Linked DNA regions of Sus scrofa. The protein of the gene in region 3 interacts with the protein of the main gene of each other region in a biochemical or structural test. Links are inferred from orthologs where the notes say so. Each region holds a gene or a part of one and is shown on either strand. Other genes may lie near its edges. The genes, in order: SNX9, SH3GL2 and DNM2.

Region 1 (5,147 bases), on a different chromosome or scaffold from region 3:
CAAAGATAACATTCTTTGATGTCTGCTTGGAATCACAAATTTGAAACACTGAGAAAAACTCCTTTTTTTTTGGTCTTTTTGCTATTTCTTAGGTCGCTCCCACGGCATATGGAGGTTCCCAGGCCAGGGGTCCAATTGGAGCCATAGCCACCGGCTATGCCAGAGCCACAGCAACGAGGGATCCGAGCCGTGTCTGCAACCTACACCACAGCTCACGGCAACGCCGGATCCTTAACCCACTGAGCAAGGGCAGGAACCGAACCCGCGACCTCATGGTTCCTAGTCGGATTCGTTAACCACTGCGCCATGACGGGAACTCCAGAAAAACTCTTTTTTTGGCCATAGCGTACAGTGGCCTGATGTGGGATCTCAGTTCCCAGACCAGGGACTGAAGCTGGGCCACGGTGGTTAAAGTGCAGAGTCCTAACCAAGACACCACCAGGGAACTTCCCTAGAAAAACTGCTTTTTTTTTCTTTTTTGTCTTCTGTCTTTTGAGGGCTGCACCCGCGGCCCGTGGAGGTTGCCAGGCTAGGGGTCAAATCGGAGCTGCAGCTGCCGGCCTACACCAGAGCCACAGCAACGTGGGATCTGAGCCGCGTCTGCGACCTGCACCACAGCTCACAGCTAGAAAACTTTTTATCTTTGTCTTTTTTTTTTTTTTTTTTTTTTTGTCTTTTGTCTTTTTGTCTTTTGTCGTTGTTGTTGTTGTTGTTGTTGCTATCTCTTGGGCCGCTTCCGCGGTATATGGAGGTTCCCAGGCTAGGGGTTGAATCGGAGCTGTAGCCACTGGCCTACGCCAGAGCCACAGCAACTCGGGATCCGAGCCGCGTCTGCAACCTACACCACAGCTCACGGCAATGCCGGATCATTAACCCACTGAGCAAGGGCAGGGACGGAACCCGAGACCTCATGGTTCCTAGTCGGATTCGTTAACCACTGCGCCACGACGGGAATTCCAGAAAACTTTTTAAATGTAAGAAGAGTATTTGAAGATAAATCGTCTGGAAGTCATAGACTCTATGTCCTTCAAGCTCCACTGGGTGTAAACTACAGACTCATCCAGAACTCTCTACCGGGGAACCCACAGGGCTGTGTCCACAGCCCTCCTCTTCCGCACGCTTTCCGCGAGGCAGCGTCTCTACGGCACCACTCAAAACAGGACAAACCTAAGGATAAGCCCAGTGAAAACAAAGTCTGAGGCACATGAGGCAGAGCAGCTGTGAGTGTGCGCTCAGGAGGTCAGGGGCTGGCCTGAGTCCCGAGGAAATCACTTCTACCCGTGTGAACCTGGGCAGTGACTTCCCTCTCTGGGCTTCGGCTGCTCCCAGAGTGAAACAGAGGGTCGCATGAGAATGTGCACAAACTGCTTTGCACAAAGCCTGGCACGGGGCACAAGACCAATGAATAGTGAAACATTTGTAAGAAAGTTAACATTATGTTTAGCTTTGCTGTACATCAGCAATGAGTTGATAAAACCAATATTCAGCATATCATTACATGGAACAAATATTTCACTTTAAGATGAAAAAAAAAAACCCAAAACTTTCAAACAAACCTCCAAGCAAAGAGCCACATAAACATGATCAAATCACACCCAAAACTTGGTAGACCACTGACAAGAGAAAAGTGCCTCTTCATATCATCATCTTATTTTTTTCTTTTCTTTTTATGGCTGTACCTGCGGCATATGGAAGTTCCTGGGCCAGGGGTTGAATTAGAGCTGCAGATGCAGCCTATGCCACAGCCACAGCAACGTCAGATCTAAGTCACATCTATGACCTACACCACAGCTTGTGGCAACACTGGACCCTTAACCCACTGTGTGAGGCCAGGGATCAAACCTGCATCCTCACGGACACGATGTCAGGTTCTTAGCCTGCTGAGCCACAATGGGATCTCCTTGTTGCATCTTACATCTGTCTCTTTCTTTCTTTTTTTTTTTCGGTCTTTTTGTTTTTTCAGGGCCGCACCTGAAGCATATGGAGGTTCCCAGCCTAGGGGTCGATTTGGAGCCATAGCCGCCGACCTACGCCACAGCCACAGCAACTCAGGATCCGAGCCGCGTCTCTGACCTACACCACAGCTCACGGCAACGCCGGATCCTTAACCCGCTGAGCAAGACCAGGGATCAAACCCGCAACCTCATGGTTCCTAGTCAGATTTGTTTCCACTGCGCCACGACAGGAACCCCATCTTATATCTGTTTCTACAGAGAGTTCATGTTCCCCCAGTGCCCTGAAACCTACTTGTTAAGCGGCAGCTTCATGGAGGAGGAGCCCGCCCGGCTGTTTCCCCGCTGGGCTCCTCCGGCTTCGGCCGACTCTCCGTCCTTGAAGTAGGGAGACGACGACTTGGGCTCATCCCAGTCTTCGTCCCAGTCGTCATCGTCCCCAGTGGCTGGCGGGAGGCAAAGAAGATCGTCAGCAAAGGAAAACAAGATAAAAACGGGATGACACTTTTCTGATAACAACCGTCAACCGGGTTAACCGTGTACGAAAACTCGGAGAAAAGGGGCGGGGGCAGGACCACACTAAAGACCTGACAAGTACACGCTCTGCGGTCAGTTTTGAGGCTGGAAGATTTTTTTAGAGCAAAAGACAAGCTGGAAACAACTTAAAGTGGGTTGCCAGTCCCAGTACCTTCAGGTAGATGCCAACTATTAACACGCTCAGTGGGCCAGGGAAGGGCTTCCAAAGGCTGGCATGCTGATAGGTCAGGCAGATCAAACACCCTTTAAACAGAGAAGACTGGAGGGGCCGAAGGGGACCCTAGGTCTCTGAAAAGCAGCTGTTCAACACTGATGATAACGCAGGTGAGAAGGGCGAGCTGGTGGAGGAGGGAGAGAGGAGAGGGACGGGCAGCAGCCAGCTGGCGCCAGGGGCCCAGCATTCCGGGAAGAGTCTGTGTCGGGCAAGGCGCTGCCAGCCTCGCTGCCCCCGCCCTTTCTCTTCCACTGCTCCGTGCCTCTGTCTCCCTGAGATGTCCCCTTAGCATCAGGCAGGAAACTGCCCTGGATTTCTGCCCAAAGAGTGCCATCGAGAGAAGCTGAGAGACGAATGGCGAAACAGAAAAGGAGGGGAAAGAAAGTATTAGAAGGATCTGAGCCAAGACGCCCGGGCCACGCCAAGCTACTCGAGGAGCAGGTGTCAGCAGTCTAGTCTCGCCGTTTCTGCTCCACCCACAGCTCCTGGGCCGGCCAGCAGCCAAGCTCCTGTCCACGACTGGGAGCTTGGAACCAGCACCTGGGCCCGTACGGCTCCTGCAGGCGAGTCCCCCGCCATTCAGCACATTCAATTCCTGGCACAATGTACTCATATGGGAATCATTAAAATTACTGGGTGGATCTCTCCTTGTTTTATTTAATCCCAGAACAGACATAAACAGCCTTTCCTAATTCCTCAAGTGTTTCTCCTTTTAGAAATTCTGCTTTTGCCTCAATTTCTGTTAAGAACCTGGGAGTCAGAGAGGTAAAGAAAAGACAGAAGAGCCAAGTGAGAGGTCATAAACTGGCCGCTGATGACCATATTCAATCTGTGTGCACATTTTTGGAGCCAAGATTTAAAAACAAGTGTGTTAGCTGCTAAGATTTTAAAGTGGGAAGATGACATAAAAATTGAGATTCCAGTCTCTGGAACTGTGGAGGCCCAGAAACACCAGCTCAGCTCTGCAATGGTGTCAATCCGCTCCAGAGCAGGGCTGCCCACCTCCATCTTCCGCATGGGGTGGCTCTGTGGCTTTGCTTTATGAACCTGGGCCCACAAGCGTTTCTATTTGTGACTCCATGACAGATAACTGAGAGTGGACTAAAGCTCATAACTGAAGACCACTGGGAATTCCCATTGTGGCTCAGCAGGTTAAGAGCCTGACCAGCATCCATGAGGATGCAGGTCTGATCCCCGGCCTCGCTCAGGGGGTTAAGGATCCAGCATTGCCATGAGCTGTGGTGGAGGTTACAGATGTGGCCTGAATCCCGATTTGCTGAGGCTTGGTGCAGGCCTGCAGCTCCAATTTGACCCCTATCCTGGGAACTTCCATATGCTACAGGTGTGGCCCTAAAAAGCAAAAAAGAAAAAAAGGCCAAAAGGCAAAAAAGAAAAGAATGCCTACATCTGGATCCAGACAAACAAGTCTGCTGTTAGTGAATGCGGGCCGCTGAGAACGGTTCCTGAGATGAAACCTGTCCACCGACGGCAGAGCCTCCTCCTCACCTGGGCCTTGGTAGGCCTGGGGATGACCGAAGGCAGCGTCCCAGTTGTTGGAAGTGTTTCTCTGAGCTGCAGCCCCCTCTGGCTTGGCTCCCCAGCCATCCGTGTTATCCCAGTTTCCAGACTTGGAGGGATTCCAGGCTGACCAGGGGTCATTGCCACTGCTGACCTGTGGTCAAGGGTAAAAAAGAAGAAAGGGTTTGTGACTTCTAGAAAGCATTACTCAATTCAGTAGGACTCACATAATAATTGAACAGGGATGCTGAAAAAATAGATAGAAATCTATAACAGTTTAAAATTTAAATAATACATTTTCAAAAGTAGGAAAGCAAAAAAGTAGCCATCAACCGAATTTTAGTGATGTTAAAAATGTGTCAAGTGGAGTTCTCATCGTGGCTCAGTGGTTAATGAATCCGACTAAAACCATGAGGTTGCAGGTTTGATCCCTGGCCTCGCTCAGCGGGTTAAGGATCCGGCGTTGCCGTCAGCTGTGGTGTAGGTTGCAGACTCGGCTCAGATCCTGCATTGCTATGGCTGTGGTGAAGACCGGTGGCTACAGCTCTGATTCGACCCCTAGCCTGGGAACCTCCATATGCCGTGGGAGCAGCCCTCAAAAGAAAAGGCAAAAAGGCAGAAAAGAAAAAAAAAAGTGTCATGTTTGCCTGGGAACTTTAAAACCAGTCACAAAGAAACTCCCTTTTTTTTCTTCCCTCGAATAACTACTTTTCTGAACCCGGCAGGTTCTTACACTTCCCTGAGTATGTAATGGAATACGTAACACATAAATACCAACTGTTTTCTATGTTAAAAACTGACCTGAAGGACACGGCCCTGCATGTGTCTCTTCTTTTTCTTTTCAGGGCCACACATGTGGCATATGGAAGTTCCCGCGCTAGCAGTGGAATTGGAGCTGCATCTGCAACCTACATCGCAGCTTGTGA
Region 2 (4,463 bases), on a different chromosome or scaffold from region 3:
ACCATAACATCCTAATGGGGCAGAGCAACCAGAATCTCCACATAATTGATGGGGAAGAAGCCTGACTGTCCGTGGAGCATCCCCTCATACCAGTTCTCATCAATCTGGTTGGTGAGTGTGATGATATCACCCTCTTTAAAACCCAACTCCCCTTCATTTTCAGGTTCAAAGTCATACAGAGCTCGGCAGCAGGGCTGATCCATTGGGGCACCTGAGGAACAGAGCAGGAGAGAACACAGAGAGACAGGGGAATTTAACTCACATATCTGCTGCATGCTGCGCCTGCCCAGCCTACTGTCCCCCTGGGTTCCTCCCTCACTCCTCTTCCTGCTGAAGCTTCCTCTTGCCACTGGTCCCCAGTATCTGTGGCATGGCACCTTGCCCTCTCCCCATCTTCAGAAGCTTTCTTACATCTCCGGAAGTTGTTGAATTCCTGTTTCTATTTCCAGTATGAAAACATGGCCACATCTATTCTCATGATAGGTAGGTACAACACATTTCAACAAGGCTGACCATCCTACAGTGCTCAGCAATAGGAGTCCCAATGACTTAAGGAGTCTTCATGGACTTTAGATTCATAATGGAGCATGGACAGAATTCTTTTCATGCTAACCTCTTTAAAATCTCTGCACGTGTGAAACAGTAAAGTATACAGACAGGGCTTTGGGACTTCAGAATAATGGTGCATTTCTTACTTTTAAAAAATAAAGATCCCCAGCCTCTGGAGAGCCACAGTAATGTGATGAAAACAAGACAATATAAAACACTGGGTTCGAGATGCTACTCTCCGTGACCCTTGCACATGGCACTTCACTCTCAGTTTTTCTAAAATTGGAACTAAAAGAACTTACTTCACAGTACTACCGTGGCTATTAAATGGGATTACATAAAAAATGATACAATTTCCACCTCCACATCACATTACCTATATAAATAAGAGGTATGTATCAGAGCTATGGAATATAAAAAATAATAGATTCTACATTGAATTAAATAATGAAGGATGGAATCCTATCTTAAAAGAGAACTGTGTTGGAGTTCCCATTGTGGCTCAGAGTTATCAAATCCAACTAGTTTTCATGAGGACGTGGGTTTGATCCCTGGCCTCACTCAGTGAGTTAAAGATCCAGCATTGCCATGAGCTGTGGCGTAGGTCTCGGACGCAGCTCAGATCCTGCATTGCTGTGGCTGTAGCGTAGGCTGGCAGCTACAGCTCCAATTCAACCCCTAGCCTGGGAACCTCCAGATGCCATGGGTGTGGCCCTAAAAAAGAGACAAAAAAAAAAAAAAAAAGAGAGAGAGAGAGAGAAAACTGTTAAATGAGCAAAAGTATTACCATAGCAGGCATACACACATGCGTATAAACTCAGGCAAGTGGAAACAGCTCCATGCCACCTGGATGGCTCTGAAGGGGGACAATGATTTTTTTTTTTTTTTTTTGGTCTTTTTGTCTTTTCTAGGGCTGTTCCCATGGCATATGGAGGTTCCCAGGCTAGGGGTCGAATCAGAGCCATAGCCACCGGCCTACACCAGAGCCACAGCAACACAGGATCCGAGCCGCATCTGCGACCTACACCACAACTCACGGCAACGCCGGATCCTTTAACCCACTGAGCAAGGCCAGGGACCGAACCCGCAACCTCCTGGTTCCTAGTCGGATTCATTAACCACTGAGCCACGACGGAAACTCTGATAATGATTTTTTTTAACTTAGAGAAAGCAAATTAACAAGTCTCCAAAAGAAAAATGAGATATGTGTTTGCTTTCTGAGCAGGGAGAAGCCAGGTTACATTATGTGCCTAGTCCTTATAACCAGCAAAAGCCCCACACGAGGGCTCTGAGCAGCAGAGGTAAGCCCGAGGAGCAGAGCCAATGGTCATCACACCCTCCCTTTTTGCCTTCATGGTCTCCTGAGAGCATCTCATAAAACATTTCCTTCTGTAGAACATCCAGCACTGGGGATACAGGGAAACAGGAGAGAGCTTCCCATCCTTAACATCCATATCCAGGATAAGGCAGTTCCCACTCTTCGACCAAGCAGATTCTTAAGGATGAATATACCTCAAGCACAGGCTTTTATCTGTTCTGTATGCAGGGGGTAGAAAGCAGTGGGACCAAGTAAAAGAATAATACAATCAGTTATACATCTACATCTCTGAAAGAAAATAATTTTCAGCTTTTAATGCACCTACCTGTTACCATAGCACAATGAACTGGTGGAGGGTGGGGAGGGGAAGAAAATCCAGCAGATAGTGGGATTCAAAATATATTCATCTGCAAATATATTCACCCTCATGTTCGTGGGCCTCAAGAAACCCAACGCAGCAGGTTTCTGGAGCTGCCATCTGTGGGGTATGTGTGAGTGTACAAGGGCATGCACTGCCTTGGGGCACTCACCCCCACGCATGCTGGAATCACAGAAAGGGACAGACAGGAAAGAAGATGACATCCCTACAACTCAACTGACATATTACAGTGATTTAAAGACCACAAAAGAGGGTCAGTATCAAATGTGTTAAAGCAGGTAAGTGTGCGCCGATGGAGACTGAGGGTAAAAGGGACGTACAATGAAGGCTTTACAGAGGAGAGAGAGAGTAAAGGAGGGAAAGAGAATGAATGAGACAAGAAGGAACTCCTTTAAGAGAGTTTCTACCTGACAAAACCATCCTGTAAGAAATATATTCCTGCATAATTCTTATGTAGCCAGATGGGATTGCTCCTAGAATTTCTGGAAGAGTGTTCATGGGGCGTGGCCAAGGCCATGTACCAGGGATCCGATACTTACCTGCAGGTTTGGGGGTGCCTGTGTGGGAGAGGCCCCCATTGGGCTGAGTGCTGTCCCCAGTTGGAAACTCCAGGCTCATTCGAGGTTTGGGCTGATACTCCCTTCGAGGCTGAGATGAAGCTTGTCTTATTCTGCATTAAAGAGAAAAGATGGGGAGTTCCTGTCGTGGCTTGTTGGAAACGAATCTGACATGAGGATGAAGGGTCAATCCCTAGCCCTACTTAGTGGGTTAAGGATCCGGCGTTGCTGTGAGCTGTGCTGTAGGTCAAGCACATGTCTCAGATCTGGCGTGGCTGTGTCTGTGACTGTGGCTGGCAGCTGTAGTTTGATTCAACCCCTAACCTGCAAACCTCCATATGCTGCAGGTGTGGCCTTTACAAAGACAGACAGACAGACAGACAGAGAAAGAAAGAAAGAAAGAAAGGAAGAAAGAAAGGAAGAAAGAAAGGAAGAAAGAAAGGAAGAAAGAAAGGAAGAAAGAAAGGAAGAAAGGAAGAAAGGAAGAAAGGAAGGAAGGAAGGAAGGAAGGAAGGAAGGAAGGAAGAAAGAAAGGAAGAAAGAAAGAAAGAAAGAAAGAAAGAAAGAAAGAAAGAAAGAAAGAAAGAAAGAAAGAAAGAAAGAAAGAAAGAAAAAGAAAAGGTAGGAGGTGGGAGGTGGGATGTGTAGTCAATTAAGAAGCAAAAAGAAAAGCAATTAAATCGAGAAAATGCTTTGACTAGCTACCAATCTACCACTGTGGAGCAGGTGAAATCTGAAAAGGACCCTCAGTTTTCTTATCTGTGTCTGTCTCCACTTGGGCGCTGGGGTCACGCTCTCTGCAGTTATACCCTCATTGCTTTCATCCTTCCTCTCAGGTTCTCCCTCATTAATTCCGAGCTCACTCTGCAAGTCTGCACTGCGCTAGGCACCAGGAACACAAAAGGTGAGTAAGACACAATTCTTACCCTCAAACAGCTTATGGTCTGGAGTGGAGACAGAACACAAACAACTGATTACCGTGAATTGTAATAAGTGCTGCCATGGAGATTTGTACCAAATGCTGCAGGAACACAGGGATGGAGCTGGCAGTGAGATGGGGAGGAGCTACCTGTCCCAGGGGAGGCTGGAGAAGGCTTAAGGACAGAGGTGAAAGATCATCAGAAGTCATTTCTAGATAAACAGTTGTTTCCAGAAGAAAGTTATTCCATGCAGAGCTTGAGAAGGTGTGGGGGGAGGAGAGGAGGAAATACTGTGTGTTCTGAGAACAGCACAGAGGGAAAGGAAAGAAGCCAAGGAAGAAGGAAGAAAGGTGGAAAGGTACAGGCAGGCAAAGTATTCTGCTCACCCCTGAGTACTTCCCACCCTTTTAGGTGGTCATTAAGCAAAGTGTAGGGCAGATCTGCAAGGGTGGGGAGAGTTTAGGGTATGGTGATTGAAGAGTAACAGTGACTCTAAACATTTTAGGGGAAAACAAGAAAAGTGGCCTCCATGCTTAACAACTGTCACAAAGACATATAAAATTTCTTTAGTACTTTGAAGGGCATGGTTTGAAGCCTTTTTAGAGGCTTTGGCATGTCACACACATATTTCCACAAGTGTGCACTGTGGGGAGGTGCACAATCAAAGCACTAGTCAAGGAAGATACCAAGAAGAGGAGGCTGGCCAGATAGAAACAGGTCAGGAAGTTGCTCCTCATACA
Region 3 (5,730 bases):
AGGGAGTAGTGGGGACTGTAGCAGCTCAAGTGGCCACTCCCATATCCTCATGGATACTAGTCAGGTTCATGTCCACTGAGCCATAATGGTAACAAAATCTCATTTTTAAATGTTCGCAGCTAATTCCCATAGTGGCTCAGTGGTAATGAACCCAACTAGTATTCAATCCCTGGCCTCGCTCAGTAGGCTAAGGATTTGGCATTGCTGTGAGCTGTGGTGTAGGTCACAGATGCGGCTCAGATCCTGTGTTGCTGTGGCTGTGGCATAGGCCAGCAGCTGCAGCTCCAATCTGACCTCTAGCCTGGGAACTTCCATATGCCGTGGGTATGGCCATTAAAAAAAAAAATTATCTCCATGCTGAAGAAACAAAAGACCTAACAAGCAGGTTTTGCTCCCCAGGACCACCGACCTGCAACCCCCAGTACAGGACTGAGCTAACTGGGTAATTCTCACTCGGACCATGTTCTTAGAAAAACCCACAAGGAGGAAGCAGGGAAATGGAGCAGCCAGATCTGCCCCCAGGCACAGAGCCAACATGCTCTCCCTTTTGTTCCTTGAAAACTGCCAGGAGAGCCTCTGTGTGGGTCCTTGGGGTAGAAGAGAGGAACCAGTCCCTGAGCCCCACAGCACAGTTCAGCCAAAGTCAGAGAAAGAAGCAGGCAGTGGGATTTAAAGCGAGTCCTGCCTGCCATCCCCCTTATGGCAGGGCTTTGGAGCTGAGAAGGCTTCTCCACACTCCAGAAATAAAAAGAAGTTGGCTCCGTTTGAGCACTCCACACCCAAAGAGAGGGCTTTTTACAGTTTTGGTCCTCGAGCCCTGAATTAATGCCTGGTTAATGCCAATGTCACGCTGCAGGCTCTGGAAGGAGGTTGCCACAGGAGCCAGCTCAGCAGCAGTTGGCAGTCACCAGTTGCCAGGGTGGGTGGGAGGGAAAGGTACAGCAGAGGGTTGGAGCGGGGGGTGGGAGAGAGAGACCTGGAGTCGCTCAATCCGTCACTGAATGCTCGGTTCTCTAAGCCTCAGTTTTCCCCTCTGGACAATGGGATCACAGCAGTGCCAGCCTCAGAATGTTCAAATGAAGTCCAGTGTGTAACTTATTAATTTTTTCTTTAAGGGCCGCACCTATGGCATATGGAGGTTTCCAGGCTATGAGTGGAGTCAGAGTTACAGCTGCTGGCCTACACCACAGCCACAGCAACACAGGATCCGAGTCGTGTCTGTGACCTACACCACAGCTCATGGCAACGCACCAGATCCTTAACCCAGTGAGTGAGGCCAGGGATCAAACCCACAATCTCATGGTTACTAGTCGGATTCGTTTCCGCTGCGCCACAACAGGAACTCCCCAGTGTCTAACTTTAGAGCACTTTCTTTTTTTTTTTTTTTCATTTTGGCTGCCCCGCAGCATATGGAGCTCCCAGGCCAGGGATTAGATCCGAGCTGCAGTGGAGACCTAAGCTGCAGCTGCAGCTATGCCAGAGCCTTTAACACACTGTGCCAGGTGGGGGATTGAACCCTTGTCCCATTGCTCCTAAGATGCCACCAATTCCACTGCGTCAGAGTGGGAGCTCCTAGAGCACTTTAATTCTAACTAGCTTTTGTTGTCAATATGAAAGGAATCAGCCTGGTGAATAATAACTCCATTCATACAGACCTACTGTGTGCCAGGCACCATGCTAAGTAAGCACTTTCAACACATCATGTAACTGCATCCTCGCAACTGTCTTGTTGAGGGTCCATCACCCCATTTTTAGGAGGGGCAGCTGAGGCTCAGAGAGGTAAAACAATCTGTGCAAGATCACAAGGCAAATGAAATGGACAGAGCTTTGCGGATGCCCACTGGAAGCCTGGGCAGGCCAGGCAGGAAGATGGCCAAGCAGGGGGCCCATAGCCCAGCCCAAGGCTCAGCCCAGGCCTGGTTGATCCCAAGTCCACGCCTTTCCGCCACAGTAGACAGAAGGCAGTTCGCCAGAGACAAAGCAGCAAAGGAGGAAATTCACGCTGCTGGGAGCAAAACCCCCAGGCCTCTGGGAAGGCAGGAGCAAAGCTGGGCTCCACTGAGCTCCTCCTGCCTGGTGGTCTTGGGTAAACAGGCTGTCTTCTGAGTGGAACAAGAAAGAACTTGGCTTGGGGCCTGTAGGATGAACGTTACCTCTTAACACTGATAACAACAATAATCACGATAATAATGACTATGATATTATCATTTGGCAGCCCCAGTCACAAATGGAGTCCTTCCTAGACAAATAGAGAAGTGGCCACCCATCTGGGAGGCAGAAGGGCAAGAAGTGGGGGAAGGGAGAGAGAAGAACCTAATTACATCCATTAGCTTCCTGAATCCTAGGAAACAGCCCACAGAATGGAATATGTCCACAGGACAGAGAGCCAAACTGAGACTTCTCAGAACTATCCAAAAAAGGCTGTATTCCAGATCTTGCCTGATCAGGTAAGAAGTTCCTTCCCAGGATCCAGGAAGGGCCCCCCACATTTGCAGGCTTTAGCTTGGGGGGCTGGCCCCTATGTTCTAGGGCCATGGAGGTACCCTGACATGGACCAGGAAAGAGTCCTGGAGAAAGATTCCCCCGAGGGTTCTACTTCCAATTGAGAGGAGTTCCAGTCTCACCCTTCAGCTCCCTTTCTCTCTGCATCCTCCACCACCCCCTGCCACAGTGGTGGGGTCAGACAGTCAGTCCGCTATGGCACAAACAGGCAGATTAGGAGAAGGTCAGATAGTAGGACAGACAGACAAAGGTTCCACTTGGAAAAGAGGAGCCAGCGTTCACCAGGCACTAAGCTTTAGAGTCAGCCCAGGAGAGCCAGGCAACAGGGTCCCCAAGGGTCAGCCAGCCAGTCAGACAGCAGAGGCCAGCTGGAGGTAACCCAAGAGAGGAAGAGATAAGTGTTAAAGTCTGTGAAGTGCACGGATGGGCAGCCGGACAGGACAGGTCATCCTAGATAGCTGGCCAGGCAGCAGGGGGCTGCTCTGCGGTACTGGACAGATGGACAGCCAAATGGTGGTGGTGGCAGAAGCCTATCCAGGACAGAGAGACAGCCAACGAGACGGCAGGAACTGCTCCAGATAAATGAACAGCCAGTCAGACCGCAGGGGTCGGCCCAATGGATATCTAAGTGACAGGTTTCGGACAGACAGGGAAGGGGAACCTGCCCCTGACACACAGGCAACCATATGGTAGAATTCACCCACTATAGCTGAGGACCAGAGAATCGGCAGAAATCCACCGCACCTTCTGGCCCTCGCCCATGAGATACCCCTTTAGCCTGGGCCGGCTCCCCACCTCCTGCAAGGAGCCCTCCGCCCAGGGCGTCCCACAGGGCCCGCCTCCCTGTCCCCGTCCCCGTCGCGGGCACGCAAGCGCCGCAGTTACGCCGGCGGCGCAGGGCGCGCCATTCCCGGTCCGCCCTCCGCGCCCTAGGCCGCCGCCCGCCCGCCGTCGCCGCCACGCTCGCTCACCGGCCCACGAAGTTCTCGAGCACTGAGCTCTTGCCGGCGCTCTGGCCGCCCACCACGGCAATCTGCGGCAGGTCCAGGTGGCAGCTCTGGCCGATGGAGCTGAAGGCATCCTGCAGCTTGTTGACCAGCGGGATCAGTTCTTCCATCCCGCGGTTGCCCATGGCGCCGGTGGCCCCGGCCCGAGCGCCCCGCGCTCCCCACCCGCCCCTGCCTTCAACGACGCGGCCCCGCGGCGTCCACGGCCGTTGCTCCCCGTCCGCCCGGGCCTCGGCGCGACGCCCGCTCCCGGCTCGGCCTCACGGTCGCCGCCTCATCCGGTTCTCAGGCGACACCCGACCCAAGCGACCTCCCGCCCGGGGCCCTGGGGCTGCGCCCAAAGCCCTCGCCCCACCCCCGGTTGGTCAGCCGCGCTGTCGCTCGTGCACCCAAGCCAGTGAAAGGGAGGCACGGACCTACAGCTGAATGAACCTTCCCCCCCGGGGACTTTCTCTCAGTCTCATTGGACGCGAGAACTGTCGCTATTGTAGAACAGCCAATAGCAGCGTGAAGCGAGTTGTTCAGGCCGGGAGGCGGTGTTTCGGAAAAAGGCATGTTAGCCCCGCCCATTGGGGGAGTTCCCGGATGGCAGGCCCATCCGCCAGTTTTATTGGCAGGGAGACCGGCCAGTCAACAAAATTGGCCAGTGATATTAAGGATCGATTCTTAAACACAGATCTGTCACTCGACTCTACCTAGTTCCCTAAAAATTTCCCATTGGTTTATATAAATATCACTCCGTTCCGTCAGCCAACAAATCAAGAGGGTGGGATTTAACCTCGAATCTTGACGCTAATTGGACGATGTATCTGTCCATCAAAGAATCACAAGCGCTTACTTGTGATTGTCGTAGGTCGGCTAGTCTTCTGAAGCAAAGAGTAGACCCAAAGTACTCGCCAACGTGCGCCACCTTGTGGACCCAGTGGTGATGGTCACGCCTGAGTTCCTCGGCTCTTAAAAAAAACTACAAGTCCCAGAATGCGTCTTGGCCGTGAGCTCACAAATCAGCTCCTTGCGCGGGGACCCAGTGCACTTTGAAGGTGAGAATCAGGCGATTAGTGGTTCCTAGGGAGAAGCAGGCTAGCTCGGCCTCGCTAGCTCCCACGCCTCCAGACCCTGGCGAATGCTGTGTCCTCCCGTAGGAATACCGTCTGATGACGCCTGTGTTGATGCAGCTGACGCTCCAACGTCGTTCCTCTGATTCTTCAACTTTAGCACATCTTGGATCTTTTTGAGTACTCAATGAAACTCAACGGAACTTCTCCCCAGAAAGTTCTCCCCTATTATTTTGCAGGCAACGCTGGGGATTCTGGGAACTGGGACTCTTGACCACTTGGAAGAGGCGGGGGAGTTCCGGCTGTGATACAGCGGGTTAAGGATCTGGCTTTGTCTCTGTGGCAGCGAGGGTTCGGTCCCTCAGCCGGCGCAGTGGGTTTAAATTCTGACGCTGTGGCAACTATGACGCTGTCGCTGGGATTCGATCCCTGGCCCGAGAATTTCCATGTGCTGACGGTGCAGCCAAAAAAAAAAGGAAGCCGGGAATAGATGGACTGACTTTAACAGAAGTGATCTGATTCCTCTGGACAAAGATAGGCCAGAGGCAGCCCAATAAGGAGCCAGGAGCAAAGGAGGTGGGGAAGTGGGCTGAGGGGGCAGGGCAGTAACAGGGGAAAGAAGAAAAAATGAGTAAGAGGATGGCAGAGTGGCCAAAGTTACAGGCCTGCTCCCTGACCCAAGACCCAGGTCTCAGAGACAGGCAAAAAGATGGCCCAAAATGATTGGCACTGCAGCCTTGACTATGATGGCAGAAACCTGGAAACATCCTAACTGCCCATCCATGGAGCTCATGAAATAAATACTATGTAGCAGCTATAAAAAAAGGATTGAGGAAGTTTTCATGTAGTGACATATAAACAATTTGAGCTACACTGAGAAAAGGAAGAAAAGCAAGGTACAGAACTGCATGTAAAGGATGGCAACATTCACGAAAATAATGTACAGGTGGAAAATTTCTGGAAGAATACACAAACTGATAAATGTAGTTGAATTCTTTATGATATTTAAATTGTAGATGCTATAAATGTGCTACTTTTTTTTACTTAAACCTTATCTTCAGAAGTTCCCTGATGGCCTAGTTGTTACGGACTCAGTATTGTCACTGCTGTGGCTTGGGTTACTGCTGCAACTTGAGTTAGATCTCTGGCCCAGGAAATTCCGCATG

What was found.
Region 1: the proteins of DNM2 (region 3) and SNX9 form a complex in vitro, tested with the Homo sapiens proteins (2 studies listed by BioGRID and IntAct, with this or other methods). The link is inferred for Sus scrofa from reciprocal best matches to the Homo sapiens genes DNM2 and SNX9.
Region 2: the proteins of DNM2 (region 3) and SH3GL2 interact in a biophysical measurement, tested with the Homo sapiens proteins (2 studies listed by BioGRID and IntAct, with this or other methods). The link is inferred for Sus scrofa from reciprocal best matches to the Homo sapiens genes DNM2 and SH3GL2.

What each region holds. Positions count from the first base shown.
Region 1 is NC_010443.5:9,165,224-9,170,370, forward strand, and holds part of SNX9 (sorting nexin-9), read right to left. Parts: intron 4,376-5,147; coding exon 4,210-4,375; intron 2,399-4,209; coding exon 2,248-2,398; intron 1-2,247. UniProt on the Homo sapiens protein: Involved in endocytosis and intracellular vesicle trafficking, both during interphase and at the end of mitosis. Required for efficient progress through mitosis and cytokinesis. Required for normal formation of the cleavage furrow at the end of mitosis.
Region 2 is NC_010443.5:205,082,589-205,087,051, forward strand, and holds part of SH3GL2 (endophilin-A1), read right to left. Parts: intron 2,917-4,463; coding exon 2,786-2,916; intron 212-2,785; coding exon 12-211; 3' UTR 1-11. UniProt on the Homo sapiens protein: Implicated in synaptic vesicle endocytosis. May recruit other proteins to membranes with high curvature. Required for BDNF-dependent dendrite outgrowth.
Region 3 is NC_010444.4:69,472,149-69,477,878, reverse strand, and holds the start of DNM2 (dynamin-2), read right to left. Parts: upstream 3,868-5,730; 5' UTR 3,635-3,867; coding exon 3,474-3,634; intron 1-3,473. UniProt on the Homo sapiens protein: Catalyzes the hydrolysis of GTP and utilizes this energy to mediate vesicle scission at plasma membrane during endocytosis and filament remodeling at many actin structures during organization of the actin cytoskeleton.